4 linked regions of the Arabidopsis thaliana genome follow. The protein of the gene in region 1 interacts with the protein of each later gene in a pairwise test. Each region holds a gene or a part of one and is shown in the gene's direction. Other genes may lie near its edges. The genes, in order: BPC7, XERICO, PLIM2b and GATA6.

Evidence for each region.
Region 2: the proteins of BPC7 (region 1) and XERICO interact in a two-hybrid assay, tested with the Arabidopsis thaliana proteins (one large-scale study listed by BioGRID).
Region 3: the proteins of BPC7 (region 1) and PLIM2b interact in a two-hybrid assay, tested with the Arabidopsis thaliana proteins (one large-scale study listed by BioGRID).
Region 4: the proteins of BPC7 (region 1) and GATA6 interact in a two-hybrid assay, tested with the Arabidopsis thaliana proteins (one large-scale study listed by BioGRID).

Annotation. Positions count from the first base shown.
Region 1 is NC_003071.7:14,927,523-14,931,434, forward strand, and holds BPC7 (basic pentacysteine 7), read left to right. Parts: upstream 1-1,773; 5' UTR 1,774-2,003; coding exon 2,004-2,090; intron 2,091-2,367; coding exon 2,368-3,096; 3' UTR 3,097-3,146; coding exon of another isoform or gene 3,147-3,252; 3' UTR 3,253-3,370; downstream 3,371-3,912. Other genes in the region: AT2G35540 (DNAJ heat shock N-terminal domain-containing protein), read left to right, coding at 1-1,408; AT2G35555 (serpin), read right to left, coding at 3,147-3,252, 3,720-3,912. UniProt on the Arabidopsis thaliana protein: Transcriptional regulator that specifically binds to GA-rich elements (GAGA-repeats) present in regulatory sequences of genes involved in developmental processes.
Region 2 is NC_003071.7:1,461,021-1,464,811, reverse strand, and holds XERICO (RING/U-box superfamily protein), read left to right. Parts: upstream 1-1,867; 5' UTR 1,868-1,999; exon of another isoform or gene 2,000-2,455; 5' UTR 2,456-2,507; coding exon 2,508-2,996; 3' UTR 2,997-3,264; downstream 3,265-3,791. UniProt on the Arabidopsis thaliana protein: Function on abscisic acid homeostasis at post-translational level, probably through ubiquitin/proteasome-dependent substrate-specific degradation.
Region 3 is NC_003070.9:280,718-284,757, forward strand, and holds PLIM2b (GATA type zinc finger transcription factor family protein), read left to right. Parts: upstream 1-2,043; 5' UTR 2,044-2,201; coding exon 2,202-2,336; intron 2,337-2,414; coding exon 2,415-2,514; intron 2,515-2,596; coding exon 2,597-2,619; intron 2,620-2,726; coding exon 2,727-2,816; intron 2,817-3,095; coding exon 3,096-3,365; 3' UTR 3,366-3,528; downstream 3,529-4,040. Other genes in the region: AT1G01770 (propionyl-CoA carboxylase), read left to right, coding at 1-20, 172-404, 592-631, 721-819, 1,042-1,472, 1,767-1,773. UniProt on the Arabidopsis thaliana protein: Binds to actin filaments and promotes cross-linking into thick bundles. Has an actin-stabilizing activity. The actin regulatory activities are inhibited by pH > 6.8 but are [Ca(2+)] independent.
Region 4 is NC_003074.8:18,971,226-18,975,405, forward strand, and holds GATA6 (GATA transcription factor 6), read left to right. Parts: upstream 1-1,900; 5' UTR 1,901-2,115; intron 2,116-2,407; 5' UTR 2,408-2,413; coding exon 2,414-2,671; intron 2,672-2,762; coding exon 2,763-3,443; 3' UTR 3,444-3,667; downstream 3,668-4,180. Other genes in the region: AT3G51070 (S-adenosyl-L-methionine-dependent methyltransferases superfamily protein), read left to right, coding at 1-136, 227-499, 582-776, 859-1,066. UniProt on the Arabidopsis thaliana protein: Transcriptional activator that specifically binds 5'-GATA-3' or 5'-GAT-3' motifs within gene promoters. May be involved in the regulation of some light-responsive genes.

The DNA of each region.
Region 1 (3,912 bases):
CTCTGATAAGGTTAGGAGGACTGAGTATGATATGAAGTTGAGGATTAGGATTCAGGGGGAAATGGTTAGCGGTGGTTCTGGTGGTGATGAAACGTCAACGTTTTCGGCGGTTTGTTCGGGTTGTAGGTCGGTGCATAAGTTTGATAGGAAGTATTTAGGACAAAATTTGATGTGCCCTACTTGCAAGAATAGTTTTGAGGCGAAGGAAGTTGAGAAGGAAGAAGAGGGTAGAGAAAATGGAGCTTGTACTTCCAAGATCATAACATATAGTAGGAGGAAGAGGCCTGTTGATAGCGATGGTGAAAGTCTGATAAAAGAAGTTGAGACAGGGGAGATGAGTCAGGAAGCAGCAGAAGCTATTAATGTATTTGAGGGGTCGGATGAAGAGGATGAAGGGATGATGACTTTGGCAGAAATGCAAGCGGTGATAAAGAGAAATAAGTCGAAGGTGAATTCGAAGATCACTGAGAAAGATAGCAGTGGAGAAGAAAACATGGGAAGGGAAACGCAGAAGAGATCTTTAGCTGATGCCTCCATGACTGAAACGTTAAGGGAGATGAGTACTAACGCAGTGAATAATAAACAAGAAGTTTTAAAGAATAGGAAGAATATAAAGAAGAAGAAGATGGCGAACCACAAGGATTTAACTGAGATAGTGGATTTAGAATACGTGCCTCGGGTTGATAGGAAGAGGGATCGTGGTAAGTTAAGCCAAGAAATGTATATGGAAGACGAGGATTTTGAACTGTATGATTTTGATAAGGACCGGATGCCGAGGAGCTTCAAGAAAGGGCAGATTTGGGCGATATATGATGGTGGTGATGACAAAATGCCTCGGAGTTACTGTTTAGTTAGTGAAGTAGTCTCTTTGAATCCTTTTAAGGTATGGATCAGCTGGTTGGATTTTGAGAGCGAGAAACTAATCTCTTGGATGAAGATTAGTTCTTCTCATATGCCTTGTGGTAGGTTCCGGGTTTCAGAGAAAGCTTTGATAGAACAAGTGAAACCATTCTCTCACCTTGTCAACTGCGAAAGGGCTGCACGAGAAATATACCAAATATATCCAAAGAAAGGCTCGGTTTGGGCAGTCTACTCAGAGACAAATCCAGGTCTTCAGAGAAGAAAGACCAGACGCTATGAGATTGTCGTATGCTTGACAATGTATACTGATGCATATGGATTAAGTGTAGCATATTTGGAGAAGGTTAACGACTATAGCAACCTGTTCAAGAGACGGGATTACGGGTATAATGCAGTCAGGTGGGTCGAGAAAGAAGATGTTGCAGCCTTGCTCTCTCATCAGATTCCGGCCAAGAAGCTGCCTGAAGATGAATCTGGAGCTGATCTGAAAGAGTCTTGGGTGCTTGATCTTGCTTCTGTTCCTCCTGATTTGGTTTCTGCCACTTAGTGAACATAGACACTTCTTTGTTTTCTGTTTCTCATCATCTCATGACAAAGAGAAACAAGCACTTCATGTCTATATTTGTCTAACTTAATCATATTAGTTTAGATCAACTATATTTAGTGCCCAAACCCAAAGTCCAAAGACTTTCCCACAAGTTTATAAATTGCATAGATAAGTTAAATATTGTGTTATATTACCAAATCTTAGTGGCAAAAAAATAAATTTTCAAAGTTTAATTATCTAATTGACTAATTGTAAACTTAAGAATTTTATATTGTTTAAAATATATGCATAAATTTCGCGTGGGGCAAAAAGAAACGGAGTTTAAAAATCGGTGAGCCCTAGAAATTCTCAAGGCCTCAAAGTGAATTATTTCGTCCATCAGAGGTTTGAGAGAGAAAGAGTGCGCAGAGTGAGCGAGAGCATAGCGGTGGAGTGTCGCCACTGGTAACTCCGACGATTTTTCTCGTTTGCGTAAGCCGAAAGATCACTCTTTTTTTGGTGTCGACTCTGTTTCTGCCGTATGATTCTTTTGGAACCCTAGTCACAGGTTTTTGATTTTGCATGGTTTATTGTAGCGAGTTAATTTTTTCCGCATATGGGTCTTGATTCTTCTTTCGTTAACTCTTCTGGGTTTGCCGATTTTCAATCAAACAATCTTGAAAGATCAAATCTTTTCCTCTACGTATGTAGTCTTTATATCTCTGTTTTATCTGTTCTGACTATCTGGGTTTCAATTATCAAGTTTGCTTATTTAGACTTATGCATATCAGATTCTGTCTTGTAAAATCTCTGTCTTTTGATTGAAAACTGATACTGGAAGTAAACTATAGATTATATTCTCTGTAAGTAGAGCATGTAGGTTGCTTCTGCATCTGTGTGTTGCTTAATAATGTTAGTACTTAGTATCAATTGTTGTTTGGAGGTGTTGGCTCATCTTATCTGCTTTTGAAATGATGTAGGAGCTGCAACGCGAAGGTGTGATCTTTCCACTGAAACTAGCTATCAAGATGAATTCATTTCCTGCACAAAACCTTATGCTATCTGCTACAAACGCAAACAAGGACTCAGGCTTGCGTACGTCTAATGCTCATTGGTTACATTCATGTATCGCCGTTCCAAAGACCACAGGCATTGATCTTTCTCAGGAACCTCCTGCTGAAGGTGTGATGGTGCCTCAATCTCATTTGTTTCCTCCTCCTATTAGAGATTCCAGAAACGATACTGAAACTGTGAAACAGAAGTCCGTAAATCAGTCTCCTTCGAAAGCTTTGAAGCCAAAACCGCAAAGGAAGAAACGCTCTGTATCCAACAAGTCAAAGAAAACACCTAGCATACCAGAAACAAAACGTGAGAAAAAGAATCTGGACATCAACATTGACATCTCAAGCTTTGATACTTCTGGGGTTCCTCCTCCTGTATGTTCATGTACAGGCGTTTCAAGGGTTTGCTACAAATGGGGCATGGGCGGTTGGCAATCCTCATGTTGTACCATCAGCATATCGACATACCCACTACCCATGAGCACAACAAGACCTGGAGCTCGTCTTGCAGGAAGAAAAATGAGCAATGGTGCTTATGTTAAGCTCCTTGCGAGGCTTGCGGACGAAGGCTATGACCTCTCTCACCCTCTTGATCTCAAGAACCATTGGGCCAGACACGGTACTAACAAGTTTGTGACCATCAAGTAGTCGTTTCATTAGTTGGGTTTGATTTAGATATTAGCTTTTGTGGCTTCTTTTTAAGTCCTTTTCACAGTCTTAGCCTTTTGGTATATATTTGGGAGTACTGTATTTGCTATAGTAGAGGTATCCTTTACTTGTTTCCCCTGAAGTAGAGTATATTTCCTGCAAAAATCCCAACAGTCGTGGAAACACATTATGGCATGAACTTGGGTAACTTCGGTCATGCAACACATTGCTTTGGAATTCACAAATAAATTTCAATAAGAAATGAATATTAGCGAATCAACAAGAGACTCTGTTTTGACTTCATACGAATATCCTGCAGGGATGGTCTTAAACTTAGGCAGTCATCATATATATTATAGGTGACTTCACACTCATACCAAATTAAAAGGAGATAAATCTATTAAAAAGATGAAAAAAACGAGGATTCAGTAAAGTCTTTAGAATCAACTTTCAACTCAAGTTGTGCATGGATGCAAATACGTCAAGAAAGTCATAAAGTCCCGAGACTTTTGACCTCAAATTAATGCTTAGAAGGATCCATGACTTGACCAAGGAACAGAATTAGTCCGCTTCTGTATTCTTTGACCAGGAAGAGGAAAGGATGATCAGCCACGAAGTCATACCTCTTCTCCGCAGGACCACAACAACCAACAAATATTACAGCAGCCGCTGCAGCTTTCGATCCCACTTCATCGACTTCGATGCAAGATTTGTGGATGATAGTGGATGGCACCTCCAAACCCAAACCCTTGAGAGCTTCAGAGGCTTCGAAACCAAAATCAAATTTAAACCTTGGAATCTTGAGTTCTCCTACAT
Region 2 (3,791 bases), about 13 Mb from region 1:
ATCGGTACCATGTTTGAGTATCGAGTAATCTCCGACCCGAACCGATATCCACAGGTTTACCAAAACCATACCTAATAAGGTAACTTCCTATTCGTCTAATCCGCTTCAACCCGATTATTTTTATCCGGGTATCGATTTCGATATTGGGTCTGGGTTTTTTTTGCAGCCCTAATTATTTCATTACAAGTAAATTAAAAATATATCCACATCCATCTTTGAAACAATATCTCAATTTCTTAAACTTAAGCAACTACATCAAGATCCACCGTGTTTAAATTGACTTTATATTAAAAACAAAAAGTTTGGTAAAATTAGTCTTCAGCTAGGATAACAACAAAAATATATACTTAGGGTACAAGTGATAGTTTTTGTTAGATGGATTAATATGGTAAACCAAAATATTTATATGCAATTTGCTAAAATTTCCCTTTTTGCATTGAAAATATAAAAAGAAATAGCCTTTAATTACCTGAAAATGGATTTATTTAAAAGAGAAGTTTTTCTGTGTTGTGTTGTATACAAATGAATCAAATCAAATTATTCAGTAAGTTTCCATATTTCATTCATCTTTATTCCATTCATTTTTTTCATATTAAAAGAGAATACAGTCTCTGTAATGGTTTCCGATTTTTTTCCTTAACTAGGTTCTTAATTTGTTTGAATCTTATTGTACTTCCAAAATTAACAAAAACAATTATATTTGATTTTGTGTTTCTATGTTTTTGTTTTTGGTCTTTAAAATCTCCAATATTATTTATTGGCCTTTTTCATGGTACGTAGTTGATAACTTGATACTTAAATAGACTACTAAAGCAAAAATATAATCCCTATTTTATTGGTTTTTAGTTTACTTTCGCTTAAAAACTGAGACATATATTGGATACGAAAACAAAAGGTAAAATATTTTCAAATATTAAATAAAAAATTTAGCTGAAAATTTACAAACTATAAATAACATAATATACCTGAAGCCAACCATATGCTAAGAATATTTACATAAAATACCTTAAATCGAATATAATCTATATGGGTAATTATATCCAAAAATATCACGAAATATTATTTCGTTGATGATAGACTTTAAAAATTGCATATTATGTACAGAAATACAATTACCGAACAGGAATAATTTTTTGATTACATTGACCACATAATATAACAAAACACTAATATTGTTTTGATAAATATTTGATGTTTTAGGAACAAAATACATGATGTTTTCAACTTTCAATATAAAATTAATTAATATACTTTTTTGGGTTTAGAGGTTTCTATTCTGTAAATTGTATTTTTTTTTCCTGTAGATTGTATTACTATTGGTCGATTAAATGGATAATAAATTAATTTTAGTTTGGAAATAAAAACAAATAAATGAATCCTTAAACATCAACTATAAAAAGACAGAGGAGTATCTTTAAAGAAACTTGGATTGTGATATTGCACTGTAAATAGAACATAAAATGTTGCAGTGTAACTTTATTTTAATCAAATAAACAAATGTTAGTAAAAAAAAATATATATGTTGCAAACAAGGATTAAATTCACTAGTAAATTCTCATTAACAAACAAACAAAAACAAAAACAAAAACAAAGATAGTGCCAAGCATTACATATATAAACAATAAAAAGACCCTACTTATTAATATCTTTCCTTAAAGAAACATGGATTATTATCATTTTGGCAGTGTATGAAGTAATAAATATAAACAAAATGAAATAAGAAAATGCAAGCAAGTACAATTGATGATATAAAGTAACCATGGTTAATCAAAAAAACCTGAAAGACTGAAATAGAGTTAACCATAGTTAAGCTTCTCTGGTTAAAAGATAATTGCTTTGCTATATATTAAACAACAATTGGAACCTCCTCTTTTATCAAAACCAACTCTCTCTACACACTTTTTCAGATTCCATCATCACTTGTTCTTTTCACACCCAATAAAAACTTGCATCTTTCTTCTAAATTGTTGATGATCGCTTCTCATATTTGACCCTAGAGGTTCGTACTTTTCTCTCTTTTCACTAAAGTTTCGATTTTTTTCCCCAATTTTTAGCCCCAGAATTGATTCAGAGTGAAGAGATTTCAAATTGGTTTCATAAAGTTTGCATCTTTTAGAGGTTTTGATCTGTGTTTCTTGATTTAGAGTCAGATTTTGTGTTTGGTACGAATCAAAGGCTTGAGCTTTTGGTTTGATGGTTGTAGAAATTGAATAAAGATCTGTTCTTGAATCCTTTTGATACTGATTAGTGTTAATTTGAATTAAAGCTTTGTGCTTTGGTTTCGATTTGCTAAGCTTTAGAGTTAATTTCTGTTTCTGGATCATAATATGAGACCTTCAAGTCTCTTGCTTGCTCATACTAATCATAGATTGTCATTGAAATCTATGTGCTTTGGTTGGAATGTCTTGAAGTTTTCATATGTTGTGAGCTAATAGCCCTTAATGGTGTTTTTCAGACAACATCATTTCTACCGACAAAGATTTGATATCGAATCCAACAAGTGAAAGATGGGTCTATCAAGTCTTCCTGGTCCATCAGAAGGAATGTTATGTGTGATATTAGTTAATACAGCATTATCGATCTCCATTGTCAAAGGCATTGTAAGATCATTCCTTGGCATAGTAGGAATCAGTCTCTCGCCGTCTTCATCCTCGCCTTCTTCGGTGACGGTATCTTCAGAGAATTCATCAACTTCAGAGTCATTTGATTTCCGGGTCTGCCAACCAGAGAGTTACCTTGAGGAGTTCAGGAACCGGACTCCGACACTGAGGTTTGAGAGCTTGTGCAGGTGCAAGAAACAGGCAGACAATGAGTGTTCTGTGTGTTTGTCGAAATTCCAAGGGGATTCAGAGATCAACAAGCTCAAGTGCGGCCATTTGTTTCACAAAACATGCTTGGAGAAATGGATAGACTATTGGAACATCACTTGCCCATTGTGTAGGACTCCTCTTGTTGTTGTGCCAGAAGACCATCAGCTTTCTTCTAATGTTTGGTGACTGCTTTTCACTGTATAGGTTTTTTGTTTGAGTGTGTTTGTTGTGTACAGCTACTTTTACTATGAATTAGGTTGCATCGCGGTTGATTCTCGAGCAGATTTAAACCGGGGATGGGATAATCTGATGTACATATATATATATACCCATGTGTATGGAGCTCTTGTTTGAACACAGTTTTCTTGAATCTATGTGTATGTGTGTGGATTAAGAGTTCATGTTCAGTCTTATGAGCAACTAAGCTAATCAAAAAGTAGTATTTTAATAGTTACATTTTTCGTAACCAAAAAGAAACAAAATGCAAGAAATAGACAAGACATTAGTATCCATAAACGACGTTGTTTTGTTCAAACAGATCAAATAAATAAGACATTAACACCGTAAAAAATTTTTGTTAACCTATTTAACGATATGACTCAAATGGCAAGTCAACAAAAACTTTGTCATTTGTTTCCAAAGTCAACAAAAACTTTACGATTTATTTGTCTTACGTGAAGTTCAAGATTAAATCATCCCAAATTTGAAAGTTCGTGATTTTTTTGACATTTTTCCCCATTAGGAATCAGCTTGTAGTATTGTCAGGTGGTGGAAGATCTAGATTTCAAGGCGAAAATTCGAAAAGAAAACGCCATAAATTTCGTAGCGAATACTTGTTTCGGGGTGTAAAAAAGAAAAGTAAAATTAGATAAAGAAAATATAATGTTATTCAAAGAGTAGAAAAATGTGTATACCATTGAGATTTTAGGTGTTGTGAGTAACTGATATGATATATAACCAAGAAAGTAAATAATTAAATTA
Region 3 (4,040 bases), on another chromosome or scaffold:
CTAAAGCTTCAGAGTTTCTGGTGCGCCTATGATTAATATGTCTATGATGTAGTAGCATTTTTTGGCCCCATCGTCGCTTGAAATGACTCCTTATGGTGCCTTAAATTGGAGTTCATTTCTTATCAAGTGTATGTACGTATTTTACTTGTGTTTTTTCCTTCTTTCTTTCAGGTTCGATCTTGGATGGAAGAAACCATTCCTGGTGTTAACCATTGTATTCTTTCTTATGTGATTGGGGTTGATAGCTTGAAGGCGACAAGCAACGGCACTGAATCTTGGCAGTCATGTGGAGATATTAGATTACGTATGGATGGTCTTTTTAAACTGAAGGAACATGCGGTCCAGTTAACAAAAGAGTTTACTGCTCTATATACAAACGGACCAGCTGGTGGTGGTGGAATTAGGTAATTTCTTCACGTTGATGTTCGCTCCATATATCAATCCAATGCTAATTGTAGCTTTACAGTAGTACCAAATCCTGTTGAGTTGAGACATCTTATGACTAGGGACAATGTATTGAAACTAGTTATTTGTTATGAGATTCGGGGTGGTCTTTTTGGTTTGACAAAACTGCTTGTAAATTATATGCAGTACCGGACACAAGATGGAAATTGTTCTTGAAAAGCGTTTGGTAGGTCGTCTCCATCAAAAAATTTAAACTAATATAGCCTTGCATCAATCAATTTTACGGATTCTGATGTTATATGTTTGGTTATCCAGGTCAGCCGTGAATCTGTAATGTGGAAAACTGGACTTCAGCACACCAACACTTCAGAGCCAGAGACCTCTGAACATCATTCTCCAGAGAAAATGCCAAAGGTTAGCTCGAGAGTTCTTACTAAACTAATTGTGATGACTGATAGATAATGGAAATAAACATGACCTGAATTCAAATTCCTTGGTGAATCAATCCTAGTGTGTTCGAACATCAAACTAACTCTGATGACTGATAGATATGTTTTACTATTTGAAAGCTGAAAATGTGAAAGAACTCTAACATGTGCATTTGTATTAACACCTTGTTATTACTTCCATTTGTAGTTACCTAAGGAAAATCCAAAGAACCTTACAATGAGAGGCTATCAATCTGGATTTCATCACTCTCCTGCTCCATCTGGCCAAAAGATCCCACTCTACTCTGTTGCACATAGCCGGGCTGGCGATAAAGGAAACGACATAAACTTCTCAATAATCCCGCATTATTCCCCAGATGTCGAGCGTCTGAAACTCATAATTACTCCTCAATGGGTAAAGCATGTGATGTCAGTTCTGTTATCAACCTCTTCGTTTCTGGAATTGGATGCAAAACCAATGGATGAAAATGTGTCAGTAGAGATATATGACGTTGAAGGCATTCATGCTATGAATGTTGTCGTACGGAACATATTAGATGGTGGAGTCAACTGTTCCAGGAGGATCGACCGACACGGAAAGACAATCTCAGATCTCATCTTGTGTCAACAAGTTGTGTTGTAAGACTACTTTAACTTTGCATATCAGATTTTTCTATTCAAATTCTGTGGTAATATGTTAATAAAAAGGGAGACTTGAACTACACTATAGTTCTAAAAGATAATAGAAAAAGAAGGAATCGACTTAGTGGTGCTTCACTTTCTTTTACTTCTATACATTAAAATTACTTTAATTTACAACTGGATATCTTGATAGATACGCATACAGATAAGTATTAAAAGCATTGTTTTGATTGAGAGAGAATGATATTATATATTTGTGTAATGTTAGGTTGTTGTTATATTCTTTTGCAGGATCTGACTGACATGGGTTGCACCACCTCAGAGACAGTTGGCTTAAAGTAACAATCCCTTATTGGATTGAAATTGTCAGAAACCACAACCCTTCTTTTGCTCAACTCCAATCACTTTGCCACCCAATTTTATCTCATTCATTTTGCAAAAAAGATCAAAGAGAGAGAGAGAGAGAGAGAGAAAGAAAAAAAGGAAAAAACCTTCCTCCGTTACAACCTCACAATTGCAACAAAGTTTCATATAAAAGAGGACAGAAATTTCGCAGGTTCCTCCGTTGTCTGAGGTAAAGGTTTCCTTCTTTAACTAATTCCTCAGATGACCTCTTGATTTGTTGGAAAAAAAATTAAAAAATCTGTTTCATACAGGATCTTGGAGAAGGAAGGAAACAACAACAACCAAAAAAAAACCAAAAAAAAAAAAGATAAAACAAAAAAAATGTCTTTCACAGGAACTCTCGACAAATGCAATGTTTGTGATAAGACAGTCTATGTGGTGGACATGTTGTCCATTGAAGGAATGCCTTACCACAAGTCTTGCTTCAGGTGTACCCATTGCAAAGGAACCCTTCAGGTGCACTCATTACTCATTTTCTTGTTAGATCTTCTATGATCATATTATATCAACAATTTATCTATGTGTTGATGGCAGATGAGCAACTATTCCTCCATGGACGGAGTTTTGTACTGCAAGACTCATTTTGAGCAACTCTTCAAGGAATCTGGCAATTTCAGCAAAAACTTTCAACCAGGTTCGTATTATAAAATCTCTGACATCGAATCTCTCTATCTTTCAAATCATCATGATCATAACAAGTCTCTTTCTTTTCTCAGGAAAAACTGAGAAGCCAGAGCTGGTAGGTTCATCATTACATGTCCTTGTATATGATTAGCGTGTCAATATTTCATTTTCTTTCTTTTATGATCGACTAATAGGATCTGTGTACTGATTTAAACATTACAGACTAGGACTCCCAGCAAGATATCTTCCATCTTCTGTGGAACACAAGACAAGTGTGCCGCTTGCGAAAAAACTGTTTACCCTCTTGAAAAGGTTAGTGGTATACGCATCTGCAAATGTTCTCATGGCCTAAAATACCAACGAACTAGTCTCGTAGAGAAATTTATTTGCTCTAGAATTTGTTTTTTGTTTTTTCATTTCCGTAGAATTTTTCTGTTCGGATAAAATCATTACTAGATCAAATGGAAATAAAATTTTGATTTTGGTTTGGTTTAGTATACTTTTGGTTCGATTTGAGAACGTGATGTTGGTTGGTCCAAGCAAATGTGGAATCAATTTTGGCTTGGTTCTAATCGGGTTATTTGGTAACAGATACAAATGGAAGGAGAATGCTTCCACAAGACATGTTTCCGGTGCGCTCACGGTGGGTGTACGCTGACTCACTCCTCCTACGCCTCCTTAGATAGCGTTCTCTATTGCCGACATCACTTTAACCAACTCTTCATGGAGAAAGGAAACTACGCTCACGTCCTCCAAGCCGCCAATCACCGTCGCACAGCCTCAGGCAACACTCTTCCACCGGAACCTACCGAAGACGTCGCCGTGGAGGCCAAGGAAGAGAATGGCGTTTCAGAGTCTTGAATATCTCTTACATGAGTGTTTTTGAGTGAATGATTGAATGAATGTTGTTGCGGGGGAAAGATTTGATTTCATTTGTAATGAGTTGTTTCCATATGAAGACATGATTTTTTTTGTTATTTTTTTAATTCATTCGTTATACATTTATTATTACACACGAAAAAAAGGCAAGAATTGATGTTTTTTCACTCTATGTGTGCTGCTTATGATATGCTTTCCGATGGTGATGATGATATTCGATGTAATATCTGTTCGGTTCAAAGATACCAAACTACTTATATACCGGATCAAACCAAGTGGTTATCGGGTGATGTGAATCATTCATTATTTCGTTAGGTGAGAGAGGGTGTTTTCGTAAAAGTATCTAAAAACGGCCTTAGCAATGATGTCTGGTTGGCGAGAAACTCAAAAAGGAGGAGACAGAGAAAGTTGTTTGACTGGGAAAATTTGAAGAGACGAGCCAAAATTATCTGTTTGAAACGAACGGAATTGAAGACGAGAGCCACTCCTTTCCGTTTCCACCTTTCTTCCATTCTTACTCAACTTTCCATGATTGGTTAGCCTCTCTATCTGTCCGTGGCTTGTCGTTGATTTTTTTTATCTTGGTCGTCTGAATGTGTGGAATTTCGTTTTGCTTCACAGGAGTTGTATATAAGGTTCGAGGAATAAAGTAAGGCT
Region 4 (4,180 bases), on another chromosome or scaffold:
TGACAATCAACAAGGATAAACTCAATGGTATTGGTGCTGCAATCTACCAGAAACCTGCCACCAATGAATGTTACGAGAAAAGAAAGCACAACAAGCCTCCACTGTGCAAAAACAACGACGATGCAAATGCAGCCTGGTATGATTGTTTCCACAATTTGCATAGGGAATGAATAACCATAAGGTTTTAACAGAACAAAGAAAGTCAAAACTTGAATGGAAATTTCAGGTATGTACCCCTACAAGCATGTATGCATAAAGTTCCTACCAATGTGGTCGAGAGAGGAAGCAAGTGGCCCGTGAATTGGCCCCGTCGGCTTCAAACACCGCCTTACTGGTTAAACAGCTCTCAAATGGGGATATATGGGAAACCAGCTCCTCGAGATTTCACTACAGATTATGAACACTGGAAACATGTTGTAAGCAAAGTATACATGAATGAAATAGGAATCAGCTGGTCAAATGTGAGGAATGTAATGGACATGCGAGCTGTCTACGGAGGGTGAGCATCAACGAAAACAAATCAAACTAAAATCTCACTTACCAAAACTAAACCTTTTTTTACTAACTACGTAAAAATGCAGGTTTGCAGCAGCTCTGAAGGACCTACAGGTGTGGGTAATGAATGTAGTAAACATAAATTCACCAGATACACTACCGATAATCTACGAGAGAGGCCTATTCGGAATATATCATGACTGGTGTGAATCATTTAGCACATACCCTCGAAGCTATGATCTCTTACATGCAGATCATCTTTTCTCAAAGTTGAGAACAAGGTATAAGCGTAACTCATAATATCCACACCTTTTGGTAACGTTTCATCAACAATAAGTCTCTTGTTTTGTTTTGTTTTGAAAGGTGCAATCTTGTTCCAGTAATGGCAGAAGTGGATAGAATAGTAAGACCAGGAGGTAAACTAATAGTTCGTGACGAATCAAATGTGATAAGAGAAGTTGAGAACATGTTGAAGTCACTGCACTGGGATGTTCACTTAACTTTCTCCAAACACCAAGAAGGAATCTTAAGTGCACAAAAAGGATTCTGGAGACCAGAAACTTCTCAATGAAAGACGCTCTGAGAATCTGCATTTGAAAGTAGCAGAAGCATCATTATAATACAACACACTACTCATATCTATAATCCCCAAAAGAATTTGTCAGTATAAGAAATAGCTTTAGTCTTCTTAAACTATATAGACTAATTAGAACATTTTTGTTTTCCTTACTTCATATTGCTTTTTTTAACATGGTTATGATATTCTCTTGTAAGGCTATGAATCATTTCACTGGGAAAAGTAAGGCACACCAATAAATGAAATTTTGTTCCAACAAGTAGAAACATAGCAGTAATGAAGAAGAGATTATGATGCTTTAGCGATACCACAAGCCAAATTCACCATAAGCTATTGACAGGTAGCGAAAAGTCAAATTACAAAAGGAATAAAGTAGACATGAAATGAAACCAACAATCTTAAGCCCACATATGAATTCAAAAGAGAGGTTAAGAAAGAAGAGAATCTGACATCATGGGCAGAGTAGGAGCTGAAGAAGATGGGTTTCTGCAAATTTGAAGCTTTTAATCGCATATCGCTGAGTAATCATCACAAACAGTTTTGAATTGAAGAAGACGGGAGGAGAAAAGCCATTGTTAATGAGATACCCAAATCGTAAAATTTCAGAAAGCCCAGCCCAACATAGCCCAATACAGCCCAAATATGTATGTGATTGGGTAACGAAAACGAGACCGTTCTTTTTTCAGTCATCTCTCGTTTCACAGTAGCGCGTATGTACGCTTTGAATTTACAAAAAGTAGACATTTTTATGAATTTTTGCCGGTTGAGTAAAAAGGTAAAAAAAAATAGTTCCCACCAAAGCAAAATATTTCAATTTTTATCTTTTTTTTTTGGTTCTTGGGAAAATAAGAGATTGAGAAAGAATAAAGAAGAGAAACTCACAACTTTTTTAGTTTTAGGAGAAGAGGGCTTTGGTCTGGAGTCACTATCATATTCAATGCTTTACCAAACTCACCTCTTCTTCTAAATTCTCACCACTCTTCTTCTTCTTCTCATTCACCGACATATCTCCTCTCTTCACTCTCTGTCTCTTCTCATCTCAGGTAATTCCAATTTTAGTTTTTTTTGAAGGTTACTTACTCGTCACATTGTTTGAAAAAGATTGAATTTTTATCTGTGGCTTAGTCAAATCATGGTTCGTTTCACCAAGTTGTGGTTCTGGGTTTTCGTGATTTTTCTTTTGGGTTTTTCTGTTTGAATTTGGAAAAATAAAGGAACGTTTTTTTTTTCGGGGGGAGTTTTTTTTTTAAAGATAATTTTTGGAGAGTTTTTGATAATTCTGAGGAAGCCAAAAGAAAAGAAGAAAACCTAATTTGTGTTGGTGGGGTTTGATAGGAAATAATGGAGAGTGTTGAATTGACGTTGAAGAACAGTAACATGAAAGACAAAACCCTAACCGGCGGCGCTCAAAATGGCGATGATTTCTCCGTCGACGACTTGCTTGACTTCTCAAAAGAAGAAGAAGACGACGACGTTTTGGTTGAGGATGAGGCTGAATTGAAAGTACAACGAAAAAGAGGAGTCTCTGACGAAAATACCCTTCACCGGAGCAACGATTTCTCCACCGCTGATTTCCACACTAGCGGGCTTTCCGTTCCGGTATGAATTTGTGTTTTCATTTTCGCAAAATTTATAAAAATTATCAGTCATTGCATTGTTAATTTCTTGCTTTTCATGTTTTGATTGTTAGATGGATGATATAGCGGAACTTGAATGGTTATCAAATTTCGTAGATGATTCTTCTTTCACGCCGTATTCTGCTCCGACGAATAAACCGGTTTGGTTAACCGGAAATCGGAGACATCTTGTACAACCGGTTAAAGAGGAGACCTGCTTCAAATCCCAACATCCGGCCGTCAAAACCAGACCCAAACGAGCCAGAACCGGAGTCAGAGTCTGGTCTCATGGTTCGCAGTCGTTAACCGACTCATCTTCAAGCTCTACAACATCTTCGTCGTCCTCTCCTCGTCCTTCAAGCCCTCTATGGCTCGCCAGCGGTCAGTTTCTTGATGAGCCAATGACTAAAACACAAAAGAAGAAGAAAGTTTGGAAAAACGCTGGTCAGACGCAAACGCAAACGCAGACGCAGACGCGGCAGTGTGGTCATTGTGGAGTTCAGAAAACGCCGCAGTGGAGAGCAGGACCATTAGGAGCGAAGACGTTGTGTAATGCGTGTGGTGTGCGTTACAAATCGGGTCGGTTACTACCCGAATATAGACCCGCTTGTAGCCCAACATTTTCGAGTGAGCTTCACTCAAACCACCACAGTAAAGTCATTGAGATGCGTAGGAAGAAAGAGACTTCTGACGGTGCTGAAGAAACCGGTTTGAACCAGCCGGTTCAGACGGTTCAGGTTGTCTCGAGTTTTTGAAGAAATTGTGGAAGGTTTTTAAAGGAGCAGAATTAGGATCCGACCCGGTTCAGATTTATCACCAGTTAGTATGTTAACGGGTTATGTATGTTTTAAATTACAAATTTGATTTTTTGTTTGTTAGTCGTAGTAGGTTTTTAGATTTAGTAACTGGTTAAAACTTTTAAAACTCTTACTATTATATTTGTTTTGTTTCGCATTAATTTTCAGAATTCTTTTTTTCTTAACCTCCTCTAACGTTATATTTACGTTATAATATATAGTTTTTATATTAATTGATAGAGATGGTTCATTTTCTAGTTAGAATGTATGCTCAATAATTATTGGTAGACTGATAGTTATCAAGTGTATAAAATATGAGATCAATTTATACCAAATTAGGAGTAGGCTTTATTTCAGGGTTAGTAACTCCAATTTTTTGTTGTTACTTATTTATATCCATCACATTTTCTCTTGTATTTCTAAAATTGACATAATATAACTGAAAAAAAAAACAAATTTCACAAATAAAAATATATACAATAACTGAAAAAAGAAAAATAAACGTACTGGGCACACTCTCTTATTGACTAATTTATTACTCTGCGTATTTTTGGAGATTGAATACGACCTTAGTTGACGTGATAATATTATCCATTTTTGCAATGTGATAATATTCGTTGACCATATCTTTGAGATTATCACGAATTACCAATTTACCTTGGGACTTTATTCCTCGTATGGTTTTAGTTGAGTTG